Drosophila melanogaster: one gene and its partner. The protein of the gene in region 1 interacts with the protein of each later gene in a biochemical or structural test. Each region holds a gene or a part of one and is shown on either strand. Other genes may lie near its edges. The genes, in order: Acf and Iswi.

Region 1 (7,708 bases):
TCACTCTTACTTTTAATGTCCAGTGAAACACACATAGCTTAGATTTCATAAAAAGTAATAATAACAATGCAGCATCCAACACTTTTTTCTCGATTAAGAAAGAATTTGGCAAATTAGGTTCTTTAAGCAATATTTTTTTTTTTGCGATCAAATCGTCTGTTTTAAAAACTGGCAAACTCCATCTACCCATTTTTCCTGCGTTTATACAGAGCTAAGCTCTTTTAAAATTTGTATTCATTTAATTTTAGCTTTTTACACCTCCAACAAAACAATTTTTTTTACTTATTTATTTTGAATCGTTTGTTTCCGGTCACTTCATTTATTGATTGTGGAATTTTCGTAGTGTCTACAATAATTTATAAATACATAAAGTCTCATAAACCAACAGATAAGGATTTTTTGCATATGCGTGTGCTGAACTTAGAACTGACATGCACGAAAATAAAGATCTTTAAATACACTTAATATTTGTGCTTAAATATATATGGTTTTCAACTACGGCTTAGAGTAGACTAACTAATTTACACGATAGCTGGTGGAGATCAGCGTCCGGCTCAGCAAGCTTTGACTTCCCCGTTCATATCGCTAGGCCTAAACGGTAGCTGCATGTCCCTACATCGATCGATCACGAATCGTTCTAGTTGACAACCAGCGCTGCAACGGATTCAAGATAAAGGATAAACAACAAGACCACTTACGGATTATCCCAATCTACTCACTCGTATATTTCGTTGCCTTCTACGTTGTACAAATCGCAGTTTCTAAACACCAACTGAATGTCGCTGAGCAGCTCCTCGTTTAGCTGGTAGGCGCCCATGTTTAGCTTGGATTTGATTTTAGCTAGATCCATGGGCGTTTTGATGATCTGATGGTAGTCGGGAACCTCCGATGTCAGCACTGGTCGCAGAAACGGCCAAGCGGCCTTGTGCTTCATGATCTGCTCAAGCAGATCGTACAAGGCGGCACTGTTCAACGGCATGTGCTCGTTCGTCCGACGCCCGCTTCTGCGATGGTTGTTGTTATTGACGCTGCTGTTGTTATTATTGTTGTTGTTGTTGCCGTTGCTTGGGCGGGCGGTCTTGTCGATAGATAGGCGCAAAGAGTTACGTGGTCGCTTTGCTTTTGGCTCCTCCTCATCGCGGTCATGATCACCATTCACTTGTTGGACAGAAATCACACGGGCTATTAGTGAGCTATTCATTAAGGAGAAATTTGTGGACTTACTGTTACTGTGCCGGCGCCTAGGTCGTTGTGGCATCGGCTTGCAGGTTTTACAAACGAAATCTGTGCGAGGCGGTCGCTTGAGGTGAACACATTCCAGGTGAAAGAATAGCCTGCATTGCACACATTTGATTTCACCGCCATCGTAGAAACACTTCTGACACACCTTTTCCTCATCTCTGTGGATTGCAATGGGTTCATTATCTAAATTTAATTTTCAATCCAGTTTTTAACTTACGACTCGTCTTCGATCGTATCTTCACCGGCGGTTAAGGATGCGTCATCGCTGACGTCTCCGCTGTCAACGTCTTCCTGAGCATGTTCTTCGATCTCTTTCGAAGTAAGTCTTCTGCTTGTTGGCCGTGTGCGGGGTCGCCTTAAAATTCGCCCATTGACTCTGGAAGATGAGGGGGTAGAGGTCACACTTTCGTCGTCCTCAACGTCCTCATCGTGTTTTTCGTTCTCGTGCTCCGCATCCTCATCGGTCATATCGTCATCCTTTTTCTCTTCCTCTTCTTCGTCTGTAGCTTCATCATCCTCCTCTTCTACGATAAACTTGCGTTTCTTCTTTGTCGCCTGCTTTTTATCCTTTTCGTTTTGACCATTGCTGAGACCCAGACTCTTTACGCAATCATTGCAATACCAGTTGCCCGGGGGTACAGACCTCAGCTTAGGCTTCAGGCAGAACATGTGAGTGCCAGCGTTGCATTCATCGCACAGCAGCATCTTCTCCGGATCGCTGCCACGCCTGCAGACCTTGCATAATGACTTATTGGTGGAACGCCTCCACTGAATACAGTCGTGCAAGATGTTTAGGTGCAGAAAGACTTGAGCAAAGCTTGTACTTTCCATTAGCGAAACTTCCCACTGGTGCAAACGCGAGTCGCAGGCAAGTTTTAAAGCCTCCTGCTTGGGGTCCCACTTCTTCATGCCGTAGGGTTCCTTCAGAAACCGTTTTCCAATAGCCTGCTCCACTTGCAGAAGGGCCGAGGCCATGTTATGCACGGCGATAGGAATCGAGACGGCATTCGTATGCTGATCCTCCTCATCGTCGCTGTCTGGTAGGGGTTTTGTGTCTGCAGAAGCTGCCAAATACATGCCAGGATCGCGATATGGTTTCCTGGCATATTTACCTAATAGTGCGCCATCGTCCTCCTCGTGAGTTTCGTGGGATTCGTTGTCAGAACCAGCTTCATCTTCCAACTTGCCACCCGGGCCCCACTGCAACTTGCACTGAGCGTCGTAATTGCCTCCAAGCAAGTCACTTCGCCACTTTTCCATATCCTTAACTTTCAGGCGGCCGAGATCACCAGTGTAAATATCATTTTCAAATTGAATAATTCGATCCACTAAATGCAAGCGCATCACTTCGTTTAGATCGGTCCCATTCGGTAACCCAAAGTTTGCTTCTCCGTATTTACGGTTAGTTTCAGATTCCATCGCCGCCATAAACTTCTTGCGCATTGTTTCGTTTTCTAGACTTAGCAAGTCTACTGGGCAGGTCTTAGCATGCTGTTCGATTAAGGAACGCAGAACGGATAGCTCTTGAAGGAGTTCATATTCACGGAGACCATTGGGATTGAGAGCCTTAATTAATTCATCGATCTCCTCGGCTTTGTAAATATATGCCCAACGCTGCCGTTGCCCATTTCTTGAATCATGCACAATACAAGATCGTTTGTCACCACTGCACATCAAGAGCTCAAAATGAGTGGGAGCCTCTGGAGAATCAGATTCGACATCCATGGGTTCTGCACTGCCGTTAAGGCGATGCTCTTGGTTCTCCTTGTTCTCTAGAGAGTGCTTGGCCTTTTTCTTAGTTTTCTTTTCGTCGTCTCCGTAGAGTTTGAGTAGATATACCCTTAGGTCCTTGCGATTCTTTGGCAATGCAGACTGCTGACGAATTTCTATTTGGGACTTATTTGTTATTGGTTGCTCCAAACAAGTGTCAAGGCTGTCCGGCGAATGCTCGACAAAGATCCCAGGCATAGACTCCAAAACGTAATATTTCCTGTAGCACCTATCCATGCCCAAGTAAACCAAAAAATTGAAAAGCTGCGAATGCAACTTAAGCATCTGCAACTCGTGCTTGCGATGTTGCTGATCCGATTGGGCGTGTAGCTCGGCAATACTCTTCTTTAATTTCTCGACCAACGCTTCCCTCTTTTCAGGCTCAACGCCATTTACCTCCAGGTGGTGCATTTGCGTGAGTTTTTTCCTGTTTATCTCTACGGCGGCTAATCTCTTATTTTCCCCGACAACTAGAGCTCGTAGATCTTGCCTGGCCTTTGCTGTTTGCTCCATACGCTCCTCAATCAAGTTAATCGTGCCCGAGTATGTCATAATTTGGGACATCAGGCAGCGAATCAGGAGCATTATATCCTTAAACTTTAGCTGATATACGGAATGATTTTTGAGAATGCGCAGGATGTGCGAGTGTTCCAGACGTAGTTCCAGACCAGGGTCTTCTTTTGACGAGTAGCCATTCCGGTACATGACTCTCCAGCGCTCCGCCTTTTCATTTACAAAAGCTCCGGATCCAAGTAGATGCAGTCGTAGCACTTCACTGAGAGTCAGTGCATCTAATGGTAGTTCATTTACCTATTGGGAAAATAAAATTAGTTTAGATAACACACGTCGGCACAAACAAAGTATTGACCTTAAAGGAAAAGTGCCTCTTGGCGTAAAGGTGACTTTTGGCGGCCTGCGCCATACTCCAATAGGGCTCCTGAGTTTGTGCAGCCCGATCGAGGTAGGTCACTGCGCATTCCTCCTCCTCTTCTTTTTGCAGATCGAAAACAGTGCCAAGCAGAACGAGGAGGATGTCCGATAGTGGGCCCGCAATCTCACGAGCAGTCAGTGCACGTGTCATCTCGTAGAAACTGAGGTTCTGACGGAACACCTCGATGCCGGACAGCAATCCTGTGTAAGTGTGCATAAACTCGCGCATCATGAAGGCATCACCCAGGAGGTGCTCAGGCAGCAATGTGACGATCTGTCTGTAGCGGGGCAGGACTTTTTGGTCGGTTCTCTCCAGGTCGTCCGTCTTTTGAAGCAGTAAATTACATTCGTTTTCAACGCGTTCAATCAACTGTGCCTTCTTTTCCGCCTTTTGTTTTTCCAACTCAATAAGCTTGGCCTCTTTTTCTCGCTTAACCCGCTCCAATTCCTCTGCCAGAGATTTAGCATCAGACTTGGCCTTCGCCTTTGACTTTGCAGCCGTTGCTTCACCGGCGACAATATATTTGTTGAGAGTGGATTGCTTCTTGCCGTCAGGTTTTTTAATCTTAGCGGGAGAATAACGTGGCATTTTGCCAATGAAAATTGTGGAGAAGTTTACGCCAGGGTCCGTCACGTACTGCTTGTATGCCTCTGGCTTGGGTCGAAGAAGTCCATCCACCCGCGATACATTGCTCTTTATAAACATACTCAGGTTTTCCAGGTTAAACTCCATGCGCGAGCGACGTAATTGCCTAAAGGGCAGATCAAGCTCTGCACTGGGATCGCCCTTGTTTGGTCGTAGTCTGTAGACCAGGTTGTCCGTGTCCTCATAGATACCATTGAGTGGTTCCGGCATATTTTTGTCCAACTTGACACCCAACACCGTGTACGTGGCGTTCTTCTTAGCTTGCACCGACACCTCCTCGCCGATAAAGTAGCGCTTGCGCAGAAACTTGGCCACTATCATGTTCAAGGTGTTGACCGCCGACTGTTGGGCGTGCTCCACAACCAGAAGGACGGGTGCCCGAAGGCTCTGTTTGAACTGCTCCATCTTCTTGCGAGCCGCCCGCTCACTTTTGACCGCCTCCTCGTAGGTGAGGTTCTCCTTGCCGGTGGCCTCGCACTGCCACACCGTTGAGTTGATCACCATCACGTGCCGGAAGTAGTGTCTGGATAAATAAATTTAATCGATCAGCGTTTTAAGGTCAATTTATTTTGATATAATTGAAGCTTGTCAGAGTAAAACATATTTAGTATGTTTGCTATTTATTAAAATAGTTTCGCGCTACCCAGCCTCTTAAATAATTGCTGATCTTAAAAATATCTAGAAGGATCATATAAGTCGAATTGGGTCAACAAATTCCAAATTCAAGAGCGCGCGCTTTGGCACCAGGTGGCAACTCCGCGGCGAGCAGCTGTGCGGCGGCAGCTGTAATTTCTTCCCGCCACCGAACAGCGTTTTTTTCGCCTTTGGCCCACGAGACTCGCACACTTATGCACCCCTGCGAACACACACACACACACACTGAATGGTGATGTACGGTACATCGTGTGCAAATGCTTTTGCAGCGTCGCTTTTGTTGTATACTTTAGCGCAGCGTCCACCTAATGGCAGGAGAAGGGAAGGGGCAGTTGCAGGAATGGTAGCAGGATGCACTTACTCATAGTCGCGAAAAATGCGCTTAGTGATGTAGCAGCAGAAGACCTGGTCGTTGTCGTGGAATGTTTCGTTCTTGCCCTCCTTCTGATTCAGGTCGAATCCTTCCCGCTTGCAAATGGGCATGTTTGGTGTTTTCCTTTTGCTCTTGAATGTCCTTAAGTTTAAATGGCAGTCCTTCGAAGTGCACGTTTAACAGTTCACAATAAAAACAACCGCGGAGCAACTGATAAATTTTACAACGCCAAGCGACAAGCGCAAAAGGCGCCCAACTTTTCACGCCTTTCCGGAGGGGCTTTCGATGCAAACGGTTTTCCAGCGATACGCGCGTTGACTTCCGACGCAATTATACAAGCTGTCGGCGGGCGACACTTTTCCGACAATTTCTACTATGTTTGTGGCTGGCTTCCTCAACACCAACTACCTAAATCCGTTTATTTTATAGCGCACAATCTATTTTCACGCGCATATTTTGGGGCCTATCGCTCTTCGACGTTAAACTATCGGTTATCGAGTTTCTGCGAACAATGTTACCGAACTTCACGAGCGCAGAAAACCGTAAGGACGCGGTCGGATGGATGTCAACAGTTCGATAAATAGTCCAGAATAATATAACGGTAATATTTTTTATGGGTTGCAACTTAAAAAAAACACAATATACGTAATATCAATTTCCCTAAAAGATATTGATGATATATGATAATCCCCAAAAGATATATGAAACATTAATATTTTCAACCATGCATCTCGTGAGTCGCCCATCTCAATTGCGATCTTGTGCGTGTGCGTTTTTCCAGCTGTGATAAGCGACGATCGCACACTTGCTCTGAATAAAGTATATTTGTTATTTATTCTTACAATTAATTCTACTAATAATGTACGCCAGACTGCTGCGAAACTTCGGCGCAAACGCCAGGTGAGGGAAATGATCGGCAGTTCTTTGTTAAGGCCGCTAAATCAAAAGACTTAATTTCGTTCTTGACGATTACATAAACCTTGCTAATTTGTTTTGGCTTGACGCAGGTGCTTTGCAACAGAAGCCAGCCCAAAAGTTCGGCCTATCAGCAAGATCCTTATTTCAAATCGTGGTGAGATCGCATGCAGGGTGATTCGAACCGCACGCAAGCTGGGAGTTCGTACCGTGGCCGTGTTCTCGGATCCGGACGAGAAGAGCATGCACACGCAGTTGGCAGACGAGTCGTACCGCGTGGGGGAAGCTGCCTCCTCGGCTTCCTATCTTCGCGGTGAACGCATCCTGGACATAGCCAAGCGTTCGGGCGCCCAGGCCATCCACCCAGGCTACGGCTTCCTCTCCGAGTCCGTCGAGTTTGCCGAGTTGTGCCAGCGTGAGGGCATCATCTTCATGGGTCCGCCCAGTTCCGCCATCCGGGACATGGGGATTAAGAGCACCAGCAAGGCCATAATGGCCGCTGCTGGGGTGCCGATCATCAATGGATACCATGGCGATGATCAGTCAGATGAGTGTTTGCAGCGAGAAGCCGACAAAATTGGCTTTCCCTTGATGATTAAAGCCGTCCGCGGCGGCGGAGGCAAAGGCATGAGAATCGCAGAAAAACCGGACGACTTCCTCACCGCTCTGAACTCAGCTCGCACCGAGTCCGAGAAGTCGTTTGGCGACAGCTCTGTGCTTCTGGAGCGGTACGTCCGATCTCCACGCCACGTAGAGGTTCAAGTATTTGCGGATCAGTATGGTGATGCTGTCTATCTGTGGGAAAGAGATTGCTCCGTGCAAAGACGTCATCAAAAGATTATTGAAGAGGCGCCAGCTGTAAGTGCACAAGAGCTTCGGCTATTTTAAAAATAATGCTCATTTATACAACAGCCAGGTTTGTCGGAAGATTTGCGTCGTGAGCTGGGCGAGGCTGCTGTTCGTGCAGCGAAAGCTGTGGGCTACGTAGGAGCTGGCACCGTGGAGTTCATTCTAGACAAAGAAGATCTCTCTTTCCACTTCATGGAAATGAATACCCGCCTGCAGGTGGAGCATCCTATAACGGAAATGATTACGGGCACCGATTTGGTTGAATGGCAGATTCGCATTGCCGCCGGTGAGCCATTACCCCTGAAGCAATCTGAGATTACGCGGCGTGG
Region 2 (16,102 bases), on another chromosome or scaffold:
CGTCGAACTATGCGGAAATCGGAATTTCTTGAGAATCCCAGAGTTAGAAACTTTCTATTGTCATGCGAGCTGAGTGTGATTGCATGGCAAATCAACCTACAAGTGGCAGTTTTTATTACCAGATGAGTGTGCCTTCGTTTGTCATTTGTAAAACAGGTAATTTGCATGCTGCAAATATTTGTATTACAGGGCGTGCCCCGCCACACTTATTGTGTTTTTGGGGCCTGCCCAAACAACTGGGTTCTGTCACCTGGAGCAACAAGACACAAAACAGGCGCTAAATAAATTCACTTTGTGGAGCCGCCGTTTAAGATTTAACCGGTTAGTCAAGGAAGTTGTCACGCGGATGACTGGGAGCGCGCACCCCCACTAGCCCAGATTTTGGTTGCGAATCTAAATTGCGTCACCATCTCACCTCCATTCATGATCGAATTTCGCGCCTGTGGCCGTTAAATAAAAATGCGTCGCGGGTGTTTGACATCGGGCAAGGTCAGTTTCGTTGGCAGAAGCTGTGTATATCCGAAATGTAGGAATCTAAATCCAAAATCTCAACCGGCAAGCTGCGCAGTGTGCATATTAATTAGTCAATTAATTAATTACTCAGTGCTCGATGCGTCCATTTCGTACCGAGTTGACCCCAAGACATGACGAGAAGGCAGATCCGGAAGACAATTGCGGAAGCAAATCAATTATTTATTGTTTTGACTCGTTATTATGAACGATAATCAGCACACACACACACAATGTGGTTTGGGCGTGAATTTCTCGACGGGAGTACGTTAAATTTCCATTTGCTCAAGCTCGATCAGTTGGTCAGATATATGAATGCCAGTACAATACGATGCGCATTGTAATGAGGCAGGGAAGTGGAAGCGGAATCCGGTGACAAGAGGCCTTAAGTATCTTTTCAAGCGAGGGGGATTTTTCTGATTTAACTTTTTCCAGGTATTTGAATTCGTGCTTGAGCTGCCGCTTGAAAATTAATTAGATTGATGACACGCAGTTTTAAGGCTGCAAAATGGCCAAAATGTATATCAGATGAGTGGGAAATCCCACCCCCCGGTAGCCGGTAATTTCTTAAGCACTTAAGAGGACACATTCAGAATCGATAGTTCTCCATTAAGGCGGTACAACTTTATCAGGCTCAACGAAGATTGTCAATACAGAGACAGCTGCGGTAGTAAATGTTTTCCGAATTCCACATCGATAAGGAATCGTAGTGTCAATATTGCAGCGGCTATAGACTAAGTACTTGACCTGCTTCAAAAGGGTTTCAGGTCTCGTTCATCGCAGAACCTTTTAGCTTATCAGTCCATCAGCCTTCCAAGGCTTCCACATGTCGTATACGCAACGTGCAGTTGTCTTGCGTCAATAGAAAACCTTGTTAAACAATACAACACGGCTCGTACATCATACTTTATCAATTGGTGTTCTGCAATTAAAGATACGCCGTTTACAATATCCACAGCCCGGCACAACTATATCCAATAAACTCCTGAGATATAATCGCAATTCCCGAACTCGCTTGTCTAACCAATACTTAATTACGCCATTGGCCCTAAACTGCCTCCAGATTTAGTGCCCCCATAAATCAGCGACAAACTCACAATCGATTTGGCTCAACTCTGTTTGAACTCGTCGAATTCGGAATGCACATCACGTGAAAAATGCATTTTGTCTACAGCATTTGCCGTGCCGCTTAAAATTTTCCACTGTCCCACTGACGCCGCAAACTAACTAAGCAAACAAAACCGATCGTTTTTTCATATTTTATGGTTAGACAACAAAACCAGCTAACAAGGGGAGCTGGCTACTTGAAACAAGTCAATCGCTAAGCTCCGTCTAAAAGAAAAGCCTCCAAGGCAGCACTAAGTGATTGTTAGGAGGGGGCCAACTGTAAAATGGGGGGTATTGGCTATGGAGCTCAAAAAGAGCTGCATGGTGTCGCGCATTCTTGAGCTGCCTATCGGGGACTTATAACTTTATTACACTTATAAAATTATTAAGTTATTACTTTTGATATAATTCTAATAATAGTCACTTAAATTCCTATAATTGGCTTTTGTTGGCTAATTACAAAATAATAATACCACTAGTTCCTTTCTCAGAACTTGTAAAAGTTCTTAGTTTCAAAAGATTGATCTTTAAGTGCAATTGTTCTTGTGTTCTGAACTTCATTATAAAGCATATATTCCATTAAGCTTTTTTGTGCAGCTTAGCTGCTGCAGTTGATTGATAGATATCGTTATCTGTGAAGAATACAGGGTGATTCGATTTCCTTAACAATTAAGAGTAATCAGCGTAGAGGCGATCGCCCCCAAAAGTATGCCTAAACTCTGGACGGGGACTTGGGAATTTTCCCGAAATGGAATGGAATCAGATAAGCAGTATGTGTTCGTAAGCCAAACAAATCCAATTCGACAAAGTAGCACCCACATACAGCAGATAAGAATCCCGCTCCTAACAACATAATATATTGCGCTTGCACTCTGGGCACCCAGTTATCCTCATCCGTCGAATACACCGATCCTCCTCCACCTCCTCCGCGGCCACACGGCGTATGAGTAATGGAGCGAGGCAGACTTGTCTGGCCGTCGGATGCCCAATGCTGTGTGATCTGTAGAAAGCACCCATACCCACAGCGCATATATATGTATTTGTTAACCTTTTTGAGAGAGAGGCCGACTTCGCCCCACCTGCGTCACGGTAACGTTTATTGTCCATTGCGCTAATTGCACGAACCAAAGCCAAAACGCCTTCGTCTCCGAGCTTCGCTGGGATGTGGGAACACACAAACGCACAATATCTCTGTGTGTGTCTGGCCGGGTTTATAGCCGCTCTGGCGACGCCACCGGAGCAACAAATTAAAGCACAAACATTGGCTTAATATCAGTCACTAAGCGATCGTCCGACAGTTAACAACAAATCGTCAGCGATCAGGGATTAAAATCAAAAACGAAGAGAGCGCGCGCGAATTTCGTAAATCCTTGCAACACCCGAGCAGGTGTTAAAAATTAAATAATTAAACAAGCAAATGGTTAAACAGTGTTGATTGCTACTGCAAATTCTGGCCTTATAATCGCACCGCCGAGCACATCCGTCATTAACGCGACTGTGTGAAAAACTCACTTTTTCGGCGTCAATGTCGAGGAGAAACGATTGGATCGGGCAATTAATATAATTTCTCTATAATTTCGCATCAAAGTTCGCAGCGAACTAAATCGGTCCAAAAGGTAATATTATTGTGCTTTGGGCAAATGATTTGTTTGTTTACACGGCGCTTTTCGTGTTAATGTGCCCCAATTATTTATAATTAATGCCCGCACATCAAATGAGTTATCAGGCATATTTATCGGATGCATGTGACAATAAAAGGAAGTGGCTTTAACTTAGAAATCTTCGATCGGAGAACCCCCATTTAGTTTCAATTGGCCCATTGTGAGTGGGAAAAATCATTGTGCCCCCTATTTTTTTGTTGCGGTGATAAGCGTCAAATTGGATGTCATAAAAGATTATTGGCTCAGTTTTATCTTGACGGCTACCTTACAGTTCCACTACTCACGGTACAATAAACCGGGCGTTTAATTCAGATTCTCGAAATAAAAATAAACAAAAAAAAAAACACCTTTTGACAACCCGCCCAAACAGTTGTCATTTCAAGTCCGCACATTATCACATCATCGTTAATATATAATATGGTTAATGCCCGAAAGTTGAATAATCAGATAGATAGCTGCAAGTTCAGCACTACAAAGCTGTCGAGCTGTCCCATCAATTATGCCACTCAGGCTCATACGTTTTGCATATCGAAAGTGGGTGCGATAAGGTCGTGGGAGGCAGTTTCCAGCCAATCCACCTTACAACGCGAGATCGCCTGACACTGGGCTCCTTTCCCAGCTCGCAACTCCCCCGGGTACTGAAAGAAATTTGTGAAGTTGAAGTTGTATCTTTTAAGTTACGCAAATTTAGGAAACATTTATATAAACAGATAATAAATTAGGATCCAATTAGGATAACTTTAACTTAAGAAACTGTTTAAAAGTTAATGATCTTATATTCGAAATTAGTTTTAGAAAACTTGAAAAAACATTACAAAAAAATGCAAACTACTTTGCAATTGTTGCTTAACTGTTACTTCCTTTAGTAATTAAACTGATCTGTGATAATTCAATAAGCTTCAAATTTATTATAAAATGGGCTACAGATATTTCTCTCAGTGTTTTTGGGGCCTAATGAATGATATTGACAGTCTGTCAGGACGGTCAACGCTTTTGCTCACTGCCTCTTCTTGCGGCACGTGAAGCGAACGCACAAGCAAAACAAAAGCAGCAAAAAAGCGAAACAAAGACGAAGCAAAACAAAACTGAAAACTGGTAACAAAACGGCAACAAAAAGGCTGTCTTGGCTTTAATGGAATGCATTGACCCAAAAGAGATCCCACTCGAAATGCCATTCAAAAAGTCGGCATCCAATTAAAGGTACTTAAGGCGGTGCTCGAGAATTGGCAGGGAGAAATTCCTATAGCCACGAAATACCCACCCATTTCAGGTGTACGCAGTTTTTTGCGGTTTATGCAACAGATGGGAAGGCCGTTTGCTTATGGAAGCAGGTCAGGGTATAATGCAGTTAATACTGGAGTATACAGCTTCGATAAGGCAAAACCGGAGATAAAGGTCGTGTTTTGTAAGCCATAAACCTTGCTGAGAAGGAATAATACACAGGGCAATCTGCTCGATCAAAACAGCATCTTTTTTTGAAAATTCTCCAACGAATTCAGGTCAACATCCGAAAAGCCGCACCTACCGCACATGGCTTTTATCGTTTGACGTAGTATTTTTCAATTAAGATTGTATAAATCTCAATATAATTGTTTGTGTAAACATTTGCATCCAAATCTTTCGTGTTCCGTTTCGCTCATTAGGAGAAAACCCCCAAAACCCAAGAAGTTAGTTGCTGTGCCAGGGCACCAAATCTTTCTTAATGGCCAATTAACACCCAAATCGAAGACTAAATACATACATACGAACTGCGATGACGCACTTGATGCGATCCTTTATTAAATTATAGTTCAAATGGCGTAACTAATTAATGTAATTGGCCATAAAGCGAATATGGCGACAGTTTTGGGATCGACTAGGAAAAATAATCAATGTCCGAATGTCCCGATATGATTGATATGATGATATGAAATGGGGCCCCCCAGTAACTGGAACCCAATTAGAAGTCGATCATAAAGATTTAGCGTTTCGATTTATCGATTTGTGCGCCCCACATAAAAGGCAATCGTATTGGGTAAACAACAAATAATGTCCGATCAAAAGATATTTAGGGCCTTCCAAGTCGCAAATCAACGGGTTGCTCTCTTTATATAAGAATTAAAGCTATGGTATACTAAGTATTACTGACCGCTAATCTTATCGGTACACAGATAATATTGATAATAATAACGCGTTCCTTCACGATTAGTGGTCATTAAACGTAATTATTTGATTTCCTAGATCGTAATTAGCCATCAAGGGTCTATAGATATAGATTCGCATAATAGCTAATTACTATCATTTGAAACGAGCTGCCTTAAATCAATGAACTAGTACATCATTGATAGGCAGAGCACTCTTGATTTCAGTTCCAATTCCCTCGTGGTCAGCAAATCAGTTAACTGGATTGAGTTCTAGTCTCTCGGATTCCCGATGGGTTCGGTTCTTTTCGGCTTGGTTCGGTCGCGATAAGGTGGTTATCAGTTGATAATTGATTTTAAAGGCAGCTTCAGGTTTTTTTTTATTTATTTCTATTGGCTGTGAATGTGGCATGCTGCGGGCATTTGTTGTTTATTGATTGTTGTAGCCTGTCTTGCTTTAAGTCGTTATCATATCTGGACATTATTATTATTTCGACGCTTACCGACACTTTTCGGCGCCGTAGCCCCCGAGCCCAGAAACCTTTCCCATTGGCCTGGCCAACCGATCGTTCAGTTGCTTTTGGCCAGAGGACGAGTTCGGTCCTCCTTTGCTCCGAATAACTTTTTCGATCCGAATATCCTAGCTGAAATGTAAGTAGCCGGAAACGTGATGTTACGTATATACTTATCGCGTCTTTGAAACCAATCAAGGGATTACGAGTTTTTCAAGCAAAGAGAACCTGTTGTTTAATTATAAATATTGTACACTAATTTAAACGTTTCGTCAAAAATGCATGACTAAGTACGATGTGTTGTTCTGTATAATTTCTACCAACTTGAAGTTAAACTTCATTAACTTTGCGGGAAAAATCGAAAACAATGATACTGGCACAATTTGGAAAATTTTCCATTCCTCTAAGACTTTATGATCGATCGAAGTTAAGAATGCCATTCGAATGGAGATAGTAATCACAGTAGTATCTTATTTAATTACGGATGAATTAATTCATTTGATTAAGACTAAGTAGTTCAATTTTAACCAAATTTGATTAGCTAAGAATTCAAGCATGTGACCCCTCGTTTATTGGTTGTTAAACATTCCATTGTCAACCAATTTGTGGCCTTCAATACCATTAGTATTTTCATAGTGCTACAATAAAAGTTTCATAAATTTTAAAGAAGACGGTGCGCGCCATAAATACAAATAAATCGAAGATTAAGCTAATCTAGGTTCAAAGAATACGCTCGAAGTGGATCAGCTGCCGCGAAAGAACGTCAAGTATTTCCCAAAGGAATGAATCAGCTCAATAGGAAAAATAGGTGGTGACTACTATATGGACGCTGATTTAGGGTCCGATTATATGGCCGAATTACAAGCGCTTTTAGGGCACCATAAAGCTGCATTTTATGAACGAAGTGCCATTGTTGTTTATTTGCTCGACCCCACTCCCAGCTCCATTCTTAGCCAGTTGCGATAACGATCGGCCAGTGCCAGAAATCTCTTTGCTAAGGCAATTCTAATACTCGAATGTTTCCAAGAGACGATAAGATACGCCTGGCTTGTGCCTAGCAACCCTTGAACGGATCAACCCAAGCCTTAAATGGCCAACGCAAGCGAATCTCGTGCTTCCTTTCGCCGATAAAGCCCGTTCGTGTGGGGCCGATCAATCAAGTGTGCTAATTTCATTAAACACCAATCGATCCACGATTATTTACGCTTCCAGATGGCAGATAACAAGGGATTTACCCCCGATGGACAGGAATCCCTGCCATCGGCGCCAACAGTCGAGAACCCGCCTCCATACACCAACGCAATTAATGACTTCAACTCGAAGTGAGTACGCCCAGCTTTATGTTCGCATTTGATTGAATTTGACCCATATTAAGTTATTTTTTTTTAAACTTTACTTACATTTGAAAGTCCCTAAAACGTACAAATGGTCCTCCTTTCATTTAACAAATATCATTAATGGATAACTTAATAGATGATAAAACAACATTATTCCCGTTCTATATAGTAAATTTAAATAAGTAATTTTTGATTTTATGTTTATTGTTCGAGACTCTTAAGTTTAATTCAGATAACAATTTTATAACAAGCTTATCATTGTCCTTTTAAATAAGGTATAATGAAGGAAATATGTAAAAAGGAAAACAGGACATAAAATTAATAAAGTTTTCAAATTCTTTCACAGTAAATGAATATAAAATTATTTAACACCATAGAAATGGATGTGAATTTAATACATTTCTGGAAAAAATATAAATATAGATATATGTTTGATAGAATGCATAGTTAATACTTTCTCACCTTTTTTTTTCGCAGAGCCAACTTGACGGAAAAAGAGCTTTCCCTCACGGATGATCCCTACCATCCCTTCGAGCACCGCGATCCCAATGGAGCCAGTGCCGGCGGCGCTTTGGCGCACTTGCTCAAGAGTTCCTTGGGCACGGGCATTCTGGCCATGCCCATGGCATTCCACAATGCCGGTCTGGCCTTTGGAATGGCCATGACGCTGATCGTTGGATTCCTCTGCACCCATTGCGTGCATATATTGGTAAGCTAAGTGGCCACAAATTTAGCACCTGATTTTCGTTGTTGACTCAAGCAATTTACGACAGACAGCAGCCAGACCAGGTGAGCCGCATAATCCACGGCTGACGTATGTAGTTCCCTGAGTCTTAAGTAGTTCAAGGTGCCCAATCAATGGAGCCAATGAATCAATCGTACCTAGTGCCCAGATAAGCGTACTGCAACGGCCAGTCCAATCGTTGCACGTGTCTCAAAAACCAAGTCCAGTCCCACTTGTTCTTATCGCCGAAGATACAATGTGCGATTGTTGTAGCTTTACGACTTCCATTTCCGATCCTCGCGAATCCCTAAAAACGTAATTTCCCAGAATTAGCTGCACTCCAAATTTCCAGACATCAGGGATCGCGTGCCAAAACATTGCGTAAATCAAGCAAATGTTTCTCGGAAAGTCCAAGTCACCGATCATCCATTGGTTATAAATAAAAAATGCTAGCGTACTCTATAATTTAGCCACTCGAGTTAGCAGATTTATGGCATTTGGATTTTGACAGTCATTTTGGAACTTCTCAAGTGCTTAGCTGCGATCATTTAGATTTACTATTTTTTGATATATATTCCTAGTTAAAAATGTTCTTAATTTGATAAGCCGGCTACTTCCTCACTTCAACTTCATTTGATTTACAATTAACATATGATGACGTAATACTTTATAATCGCTTTCCGCTTAGGGAATAATAAACTGCATCCTCATAAGCTTTAGATTATCTCTAAAGTGGAAGTCAAGTCTCTAAGATTAATACTATATCTTAATTTTGAAGTAGTATTATTTATTTAGACTTAAAACTTAGTGATAACCTTAGCCTATTTGTTTAAACTGCAATAAATTTCTATTTGATTAATGGAGTAGAAGCTTAGAGTTCAATAAATTGCTGTCTATATTATAAATCACCTTTTTCAATGCTTTAATGAATCCTATTAACTAACGACGTTCCAACATTTTTTATTCATTCTTGCAGGTTAAAACTTCGCATGACATTTGCAGGGATGCCAAGGTTTCGGCTCTGGGATTTGCTGAGACAGCTGAGAAGGTCTTCGAGTACGGACCCAAGGGAATGCGACCCTACTCGAATTTCGCCAAGTGAGTAAAGCTTACAGGAGATGATCCCTAATGCTAATCTATTTAAAAATCTCCAGGCAATTTGTGGATATCGGACTGATGGCCACCTACTATGCTGCGGCATGTGTATATATCGTATTTATTGCGACATCCTTCCACGATGTCATTAACTATGATTTGAAGATCAACTGGGATGTGCGTATTTACATTGCCCTAACCGTGATCCCCTGTCTGCTTATCGGTCAGATCCGTGACCTGAAGTGGCTGGTGCCATTCTCCATGATGGCCAACATCTTCATTGTGGTCACATTCGCGATCACGCTGTATTACATGTTCGACGAGCCGCTGGTTTACTCCGACAAGCCACTGATCGCCAAGGCTGCCCATATTCCACTCTTTTTCGCCACCGTGATCTTTGCGATGGAGGGCATCGGTGTTGTGATGCCCGTGGAAAACTCGATGAGGAAGCCCCAGCATTTCTTGGGATGCCCCGGCGTGCTTAACATTGCTATGGTCACTGTGGTCTCGCTCTATGCCATCATCGGATTCTTTGGATATGTGCGATTTGGCGACCAGGTGCGAGGCAGCATCACGCTGAATCTGCCGGAAGGCGCCTGGCTGGGCGATACGGCCAAGCTCCTGATGGCCGTGGCCATCCTGTTCACCTTTGGCCTGCAGTTCTATGTGCCCAACGAGATCCTCTGGCGCAAGATCAGTCACAAGTTCAGTCCCGAGAAGCACAATATTACACAGATTCTGCTGCGCAGCGGCATTATCCTGCTTAGCGGTGGTGTAGCTGCTGCTATCCCCAACCTGGAACCCTTCATCAGTCTGGTGGGTGCCGTGTTCTTCTCGCTGCTGGGCATCTTTGTGCCCAGTTTCGTGGAGACCGTCTATCTGTGGCCCGACCGCCTGGGCGTGTGCAAGTGGAAGCTGGTCAAGAACATCTTCCTGGGCGTGTTCTCCATTCTTGCCCTGGTTGCTGGTGCCGTCGCCAGCATCAACGAGATCATCGAAATGTATAGCGACGACGACTAAGGATTCGATATGTATGGGTTCAACCTTCAAACAGAGACGTAGTATTACACTAGATGCAGGTAGCTCCAACAATGGAAGCGCGATGAAAGACAAGTATGAGTTCAAAAAGCAGGCGAAGCCCACATTCACATCAGACCCAACTTATGGCCATGTTGAACATGGTCAAGCGGCTCGGATGCCAAATTGCCGATGCCGTTGACTGCATGAACAAGATGATATTAAGTTTAAGTGCCCTGTTACACAAACTAAGCAGCAATTCATAGAATTTATATATGTTATTACGTTAAGTTGCTCAGCATTCCAAAACATAAAGCGAACAGTACCAAAACATTCAATATGTCGCCTTTTACTTACGGGGAATCCACCTCTGAATATAAAGTGAAACAATCTGTATGCTGTGTTGATTTATATAAATATAATGATTATAGTCTTAGAACACAATACAATTATTTGGAATAGAATACAGCGGCACGCAATAGTAATGTAGTCGGATGTGTAGGCGGGTGTTTAAAAAAACTTCAGATTTTGGGGGTGGGGTTGGTGTGATATTGCTTCCGGCGTGAGATATGAACTATTAACTATATAGAGTAAAATATGTTTAAGTAATCGCTTGTCTTAACTATTTAACTGCCTAGTGCTGAGTGTAGAGCCGAATCTCAGAAAAATATCTGTTTGCTTTGTCGCTTTACTTCTTCTTCTTTTTCGAGTTGGAACTGGTTGCCACCACCTCGCTCTTCCGCTTTTGACTGGCCTTCGGTTGGGGCGCGGGTGCTGGAGTGTTCGAGCTGGCACTTCCACTTCCAGCGGACACGCTGCCCTTTGGTGCCTTTTTCTTTTTCTCGGCGCGTTCTTTCTCTTCCAGCTCAATGTTTTCACGTTCAATAAGGGTAATCAACGTGTTGCAGCGACGCTGTAGCTCCAAAGCGGTTCTAGATTTGATGAACCAGTCAAAGCGGAATTGCGGAGAAGCTCTGTAAGAGAACGGAAATGTATAAGGGGTTTACTCATATTTAAAACCAAGTTTTTGCTCACCTTATAGCCGCTCGCAGCTCTTCGTAGACATTCTCCTTGTCAAAGCCCAACTTGTGAAGCATGCATACCAGAAAGCGATCCTCTATTTCAGTGTAATTCTTGCCCTTGTTATTACCATATTGCAGCCGCAACTGATGGAAGGGGGCGCGATACCGCGACATCTACAACAAAAATATATTCATATATATTAAAGATACTCTACAGAAACAATGCTAACTACCTTTTGATCCAAAGCCTTCTTAATAGACAATCGCCGTTGAATCTTGCCCTCTCCACGCTCAATCTGTCCCATTATTCGCTCAATATCCTGCAACTCAGTGCATCGCTCCCAAAACACGGCGTTGTACTCGATAACCTCCTCCGGAGTCTTGCCCTCCACGTCCTTGGCAATGTTGTCAATATCATCCCGACCGTACTTTTCGTTAGCCTTGATGAACTGGTTGAAATCGCGCTTGGTCCAGGCAGTGAAACCCTGTGAGAGTAGATTCTCCTTCTCCTGGATCTCTTCCTCGGTAAGCGGCTCTGCCTCATCGATCTTGCGCTGCTCCTCGCGCTGCACTTTGGTGGCATCCGATCCTAGTTCCGTGTTCTTGGGCACCTTGTAACCAACAGTCTTGCGGAAATAGTAGATTTCCTGGTCGAGCAGCTCAAACAGACGGGGTGGGAAGAACTGAAAGTCCTGAACGATAGGCTGCTTGGGTGGGCGGGGAGCCTTCGGTGCCTTGGGTTCGGAGACACGGAGAGCCTCGCGGAAATAGGCATCCACAGCATAGTTGGCTTTGCGTTCACGCTTCGGTGGCTCGATCCAGTTGCCCAGCGCATTTAGCTTTTGCTTCTCGCGCCAATCCTCACCCTCGAATTGATATACGGAAGAAGTTCCTGCCTCGCCGTTTGTGTCCATTGTGAACGTCCGCAGCGAACTCTCGCCCAGACTGTCCAGTGCTGCCTTTTGCTCGGCCGTCTTGGCCTCACCGCGCTCCAAAATAACATCGATGTCCTCATCGGTAATGTCTGTCTCCTTAGAGCTGAACACTTGGTTAGCTCCAAAACGGATTATATTAAGCATTTCATCCTTGTTCAACTGATTGGAGCGGTTGTCAACCAATCTGCCCCCCTGGATGACCATCTTGTCCAGACGGAGCTTGACCTCTGCTCTCTCCACGATCTTCTCCTCCACTGTACTTTCGGTGATCAGCCGGAAAACGCGCACTTGCTTCTTTTGACCAATACGATGAGCACGATCCATAGCTTGCAAATCCATTTGAGGATTCCAATCCGAGTCGTAAATGATGACAACATCAGCGGTAGCCAAATTGATACCCAAACCACCGGCTCGGGTGGACAACATGAAGAGAAACTTGGCGCTGTTGTCCATGTTAAATTCCTGAATCTGCCTGTTACGATCTTCGTGCGGCGTCTGACCATCCAGGCGGCAATAGTTGTAGTTGCGCCAGTGACAGTAGTCCTCGAGGATATCCAACATCCTCGTCATTTGTGAGAAAATCAACACACGCGATCCCTGCTCTTGGAGCTTGGGCAGCAGCTTGTCCAGAATAGCCATCTTTCCGGAGTTATACACCAAATGCGTGTCCGTGGTGTATGGCGGACCGGGCTCGGCGCCATCAAACAAATATGGGTGGTTGGTGCACTTGCGGAGCTGCATAAGGATGTTCTGCAGTCGCATCTTCTCCACTTTGCCAGCACCGTTCACTACATCAATGTCCTTAAGCAGCACCTTGGTGTACCAGTCGCGTTGCATCTTGGATAGACCCACAAATATTTTCATCTCCTTCTTCGGCTTCAGACGCTTCTCCACTTCGGCCTTTAGACGACGGAGCAGGAAAGGTTTCAGCACGGCATGCAAACGCGTAATCAATGCATCGTCACCCAGGCAGGTGTTCGTGTTGAACCATTCGTCAAAATCCTCTGACGAATTAAACACATCGGGCAGCAGGAAATTAAGCAGGGCCCACAGCTCGTGGAGGTTATTCTGCAGCGGAGTACCCGTGATAAGTAGACGATTAGCGGTCTTAAACTCTCGCAGAATCTCCGACAGCTTCGACTTCTCGTTCTTGATACGATGCGCCTCGTCGATGACCAAATAGCGCCAGTTGAACTTCTTGAATACAGACTTCTCGCGGATACACATCTCATAGGAGGTCACGCAAACGTCCCACTCGCCAGGCATGAGCACATCTCTAATGAAGGTGTTACGGGTGTCCTGGTCACCAATAAGGCAGACGGCTCTGAGGGAAGGACACCACTTTTTAAACTCATTTACCCAATTCTGAAGCGTTGACTTTGGCACGATGACGATGTGTGGTCCAGCTTGATTTCTGCACGCAAATATGGTATTTAGAGATTTCTTTAAAACAATAGATGTTTATGAAAACTCACTTGAAATGCTTGAGGTAACCCAGCAGAGATATGGTCTGCAGGGTCTTTCCTAGACCCATTTCATCGGCCAGAATTCCATTGATACCATTTTCGTAAAGCGAAATCATCCAGTTAAGACCGCGAATCTGGTAGTCACGCATCTCTCCACTTTTGATGTAGGCGGGTGAGGCATCGAAGCGAAAGATCTCCTTGGTGGCCGAGTCTTCCGCCAGCAACTCCTCATCCTCCTCCTGCTCTGTCTTGCGATGACGATGACTGTTTAATACAAAAGTACACCAATAGATAAAGTAGTTGGCTTTTTTATAGGGGGAGTTTAACTCACTCGGCCACATCCTTTTCCTTGTCCTTGTCTTTGATCTTCTTGGGTCTACCCTTAGGCTTCGTGGGACTCTTAGCGCTGTTAGTCATGAAGTGGGTGAATATCTCCGTCTGCTTTAGCAGGAAATCAAAGCGCCTACTGCGATCAGCCTCGATTTTGTTGTCGAACTCAGCCTCCTTTTCACCGGATGAACTGGTGGCCGCATCTGAAGTCGTCTCGTTCTGGCAGAGTTCAGAATATATGTATAGAAGTCCTTAGACAAAGCCTGCTGTATATTAACTTACCGAGTTCTCTTCGGTTGCCTCCACGGCAGCTGTATCTGTTTTGGACATATTTGCAATGCCGGCGTCTGTCTCTAAATGAACTTAATTTTTCCACAAATTTCCCCTCGCCAATCAAGCGTGCTGCACACTGGTGTCGTTTAATGTGAACTGAAAATCGAGTGTGCAACCTGTTAGTTATACTTTCAGTATATAAATAAAAGGCAATTTACACAAAACAATGTTTGTTTCGCTTAAACAAATTGTAAATAATTACATGCGATTTTTTTTAATGAATGGTGGGAAATCTGCGCGTGCTATCGCTAGATTATGCGATGAATGCGCGAAGTTGGCTGCGGCAGCGACGGTGGCGGCAAACAAATCGAGAATACGAACTATCGATAGTTTTGATGGATTACTATGAATGGCAGCACTGGCCGTGTGCCGTTATTATTAGTTTTAGACAAAGCCGTTATTCTGATTAATCAAATAGGTTATCTTTTTAAATTGTTTGCGTTTGTTTAAAAATTATTGCCTAATGTTTAAGTTTGAGATGATGGAATATAGCAGGAATCGAAAAGTCTAATGGGGTCTCATAATATTTTAGAAATAAGCCCTGTGGTGGAAACTGAATCTAAATATGACAATATGTACTACATCGTTTTAGACTTGAATGGCTGCCCCAAACTATATGAACAAAGACAAAATCTGTTAAATTACTTAGACAACCCCCATATTAAAGTATTTAATAGATATATCGCAAGAAACCCCCCGAAAAAGAACATTTAAAATGGTGCTAGGTGTGGCCAAGGTCAGCGCAGATAGAAAAACTACCACCCGGCTTATGGAAAACCTGTTTTTGCCTGAAGCCCAATACGGTCACACAACCACTCCATCACCTCGTTTCGTTTGAAAAAAAAACCATCCAAAATGAGTAAATACGACTCAAAGTACCTCGAGGAGAAGCTCAAACGGGAACTGCAGACGGAGTACGTGAGTGTTACGGACGAATCAGACGGCTGTGGCGGCAAGTTCAGCGCCGTAATCGTATCGCCAGCCTTCAGCGGCAAGACCCTTCTCCAGAAGCATAGATTAGTTAACTCAACGCTTGCCGAAGAACTGAAAGAAATCCATGCATTCTCCCAGAAATCCTACACACCCGAAGAGTGGGAGAAAGTGAAAGCCCAATAGTAGTACCGAATAAAAAAAAACCAACAACACACATACATATACACGAGCGATACAACAACAGCAAACACTAGCCGCAAAAACCTGTTGTTCGTTTTGCTGATGGTTGCGCTTTCCGATCGAAGAGACGAACAAGCCGAAAAACGCCAGTCGCACAAAGAAAGTGAAAGGGAAAGCACAGGAATCGGCAGCCAGAAATAGGAGTTACCGAATAAACAACGCAAATGATCCACTAAATGCATAAGTTACATAAAGAAATACAGCCATAAAAGTTTAACTACTTGTCGCAGGTCGTCCACTCGAAAGGCATTAGCATTACAATTCGAAACAGCTGATAAACCGATAAAGCCATAGCCAAACGGAATACAGAACACACAATACACGGAGATCATCAAGAACAATGCTCAAGTTCCAGGTCCATTCTCCGGGCAAGGTCATACTCCATGGCGAACACGCCGTGGTCTATCATCGTCCCGCCCTCGCCGCCGTAGTGGGTTTGGGCACTACTCTGAGATTTCGGCAGCTGGAGGACAGCCAGGTGGCAAGTTTTCAACTGGAGGCCCTTAACTGCACACTGGAGATCCAGTTGCCGGAGTTCAATGGATTTTTGGCTGAATTTAGGAGTAAATACCCATCAGATAGCACGGCCAATCTGTTGGAAGCCGTCCGCGCAGAGGTGTCCAAACAACTTGAACGATCCGGAGGCAATGCACCGAAGCAGCACACCCAGCGGGCATTCATCTCCATATACTATTTGCTGGCCGGCGCTGTACTCTCCGCACCCGGCGACAAGAAACTGACGCTGCAAACCGGTTTCCAG

Evidence for each region.
Region 2: the proteins of Acf (region 1) and Iswi form a complex in vitro, tested with the Drosophila melanogaster proteins (3 studies listed by BioGRID).

Annotation. Positions count from the first base shown.
Region 1 is NT_033777.3:31,792,385-31,800,092, reverse strand, and holds Acf (ATP-dependent chromatin assembly factor large subunit), read right to left. Parts: upstream 6,113-7,708; 5' UTR 5,726-6,112; coding exon 5,604-5,725; intron 5,112-5,603; coding exon 3,881-5,111; intron 3,823-3,880; coding exon 1,460-3,822; intron 1,401-1,459; coding exon 1,225-1,400; intron 1,159-1,224; coding exon 720-1,158; intron 655-719; coding exon 555-654; 3' UTR 294-554; downstream 1-293. Other genes in the region: Mccc1 (Methylcrotonoyl-CoA carboxylase 1), read left to right, coding at 6,475-6,515, 6,623-7,388, 7,443-7,708.
Region 2 is NT_033778.4:12,635,007-12,651,108, reverse strand, and holds Iswi (imitation SWI), read right to left. Parts: upstream 14,439-16,102; 5' UTR 14,328-14,438; exon of another isoform or gene 14,266-14,327; 5' UTR 14,167-14,265; coding exon 14,119-14,166; intron 14,056-14,118; coding exon 13,838-14,055; intron 13,771-13,837; coding exon 13,516-13,770; intron 13,455-13,515; coding exon 11,339-13,454; intron 11,280-11,338; coding exon 11,119-11,279; intron 11,058-11,118; coding exon 10,772-11,057; 3' UTR 10,481-10,771; downstream 1-10,480. Other genes in the region: CG8785 (uncharacterized protein), read left to right, coding at 7,123-7,232, 7,725-7,956, 8,948-9,069, 9,126-10,086; CG33672 (uncharacterized protein), read left to right, coding at 15,025-15,285; Mvk (mevalonate kinase), read left to right, coding at 15,683-16,102.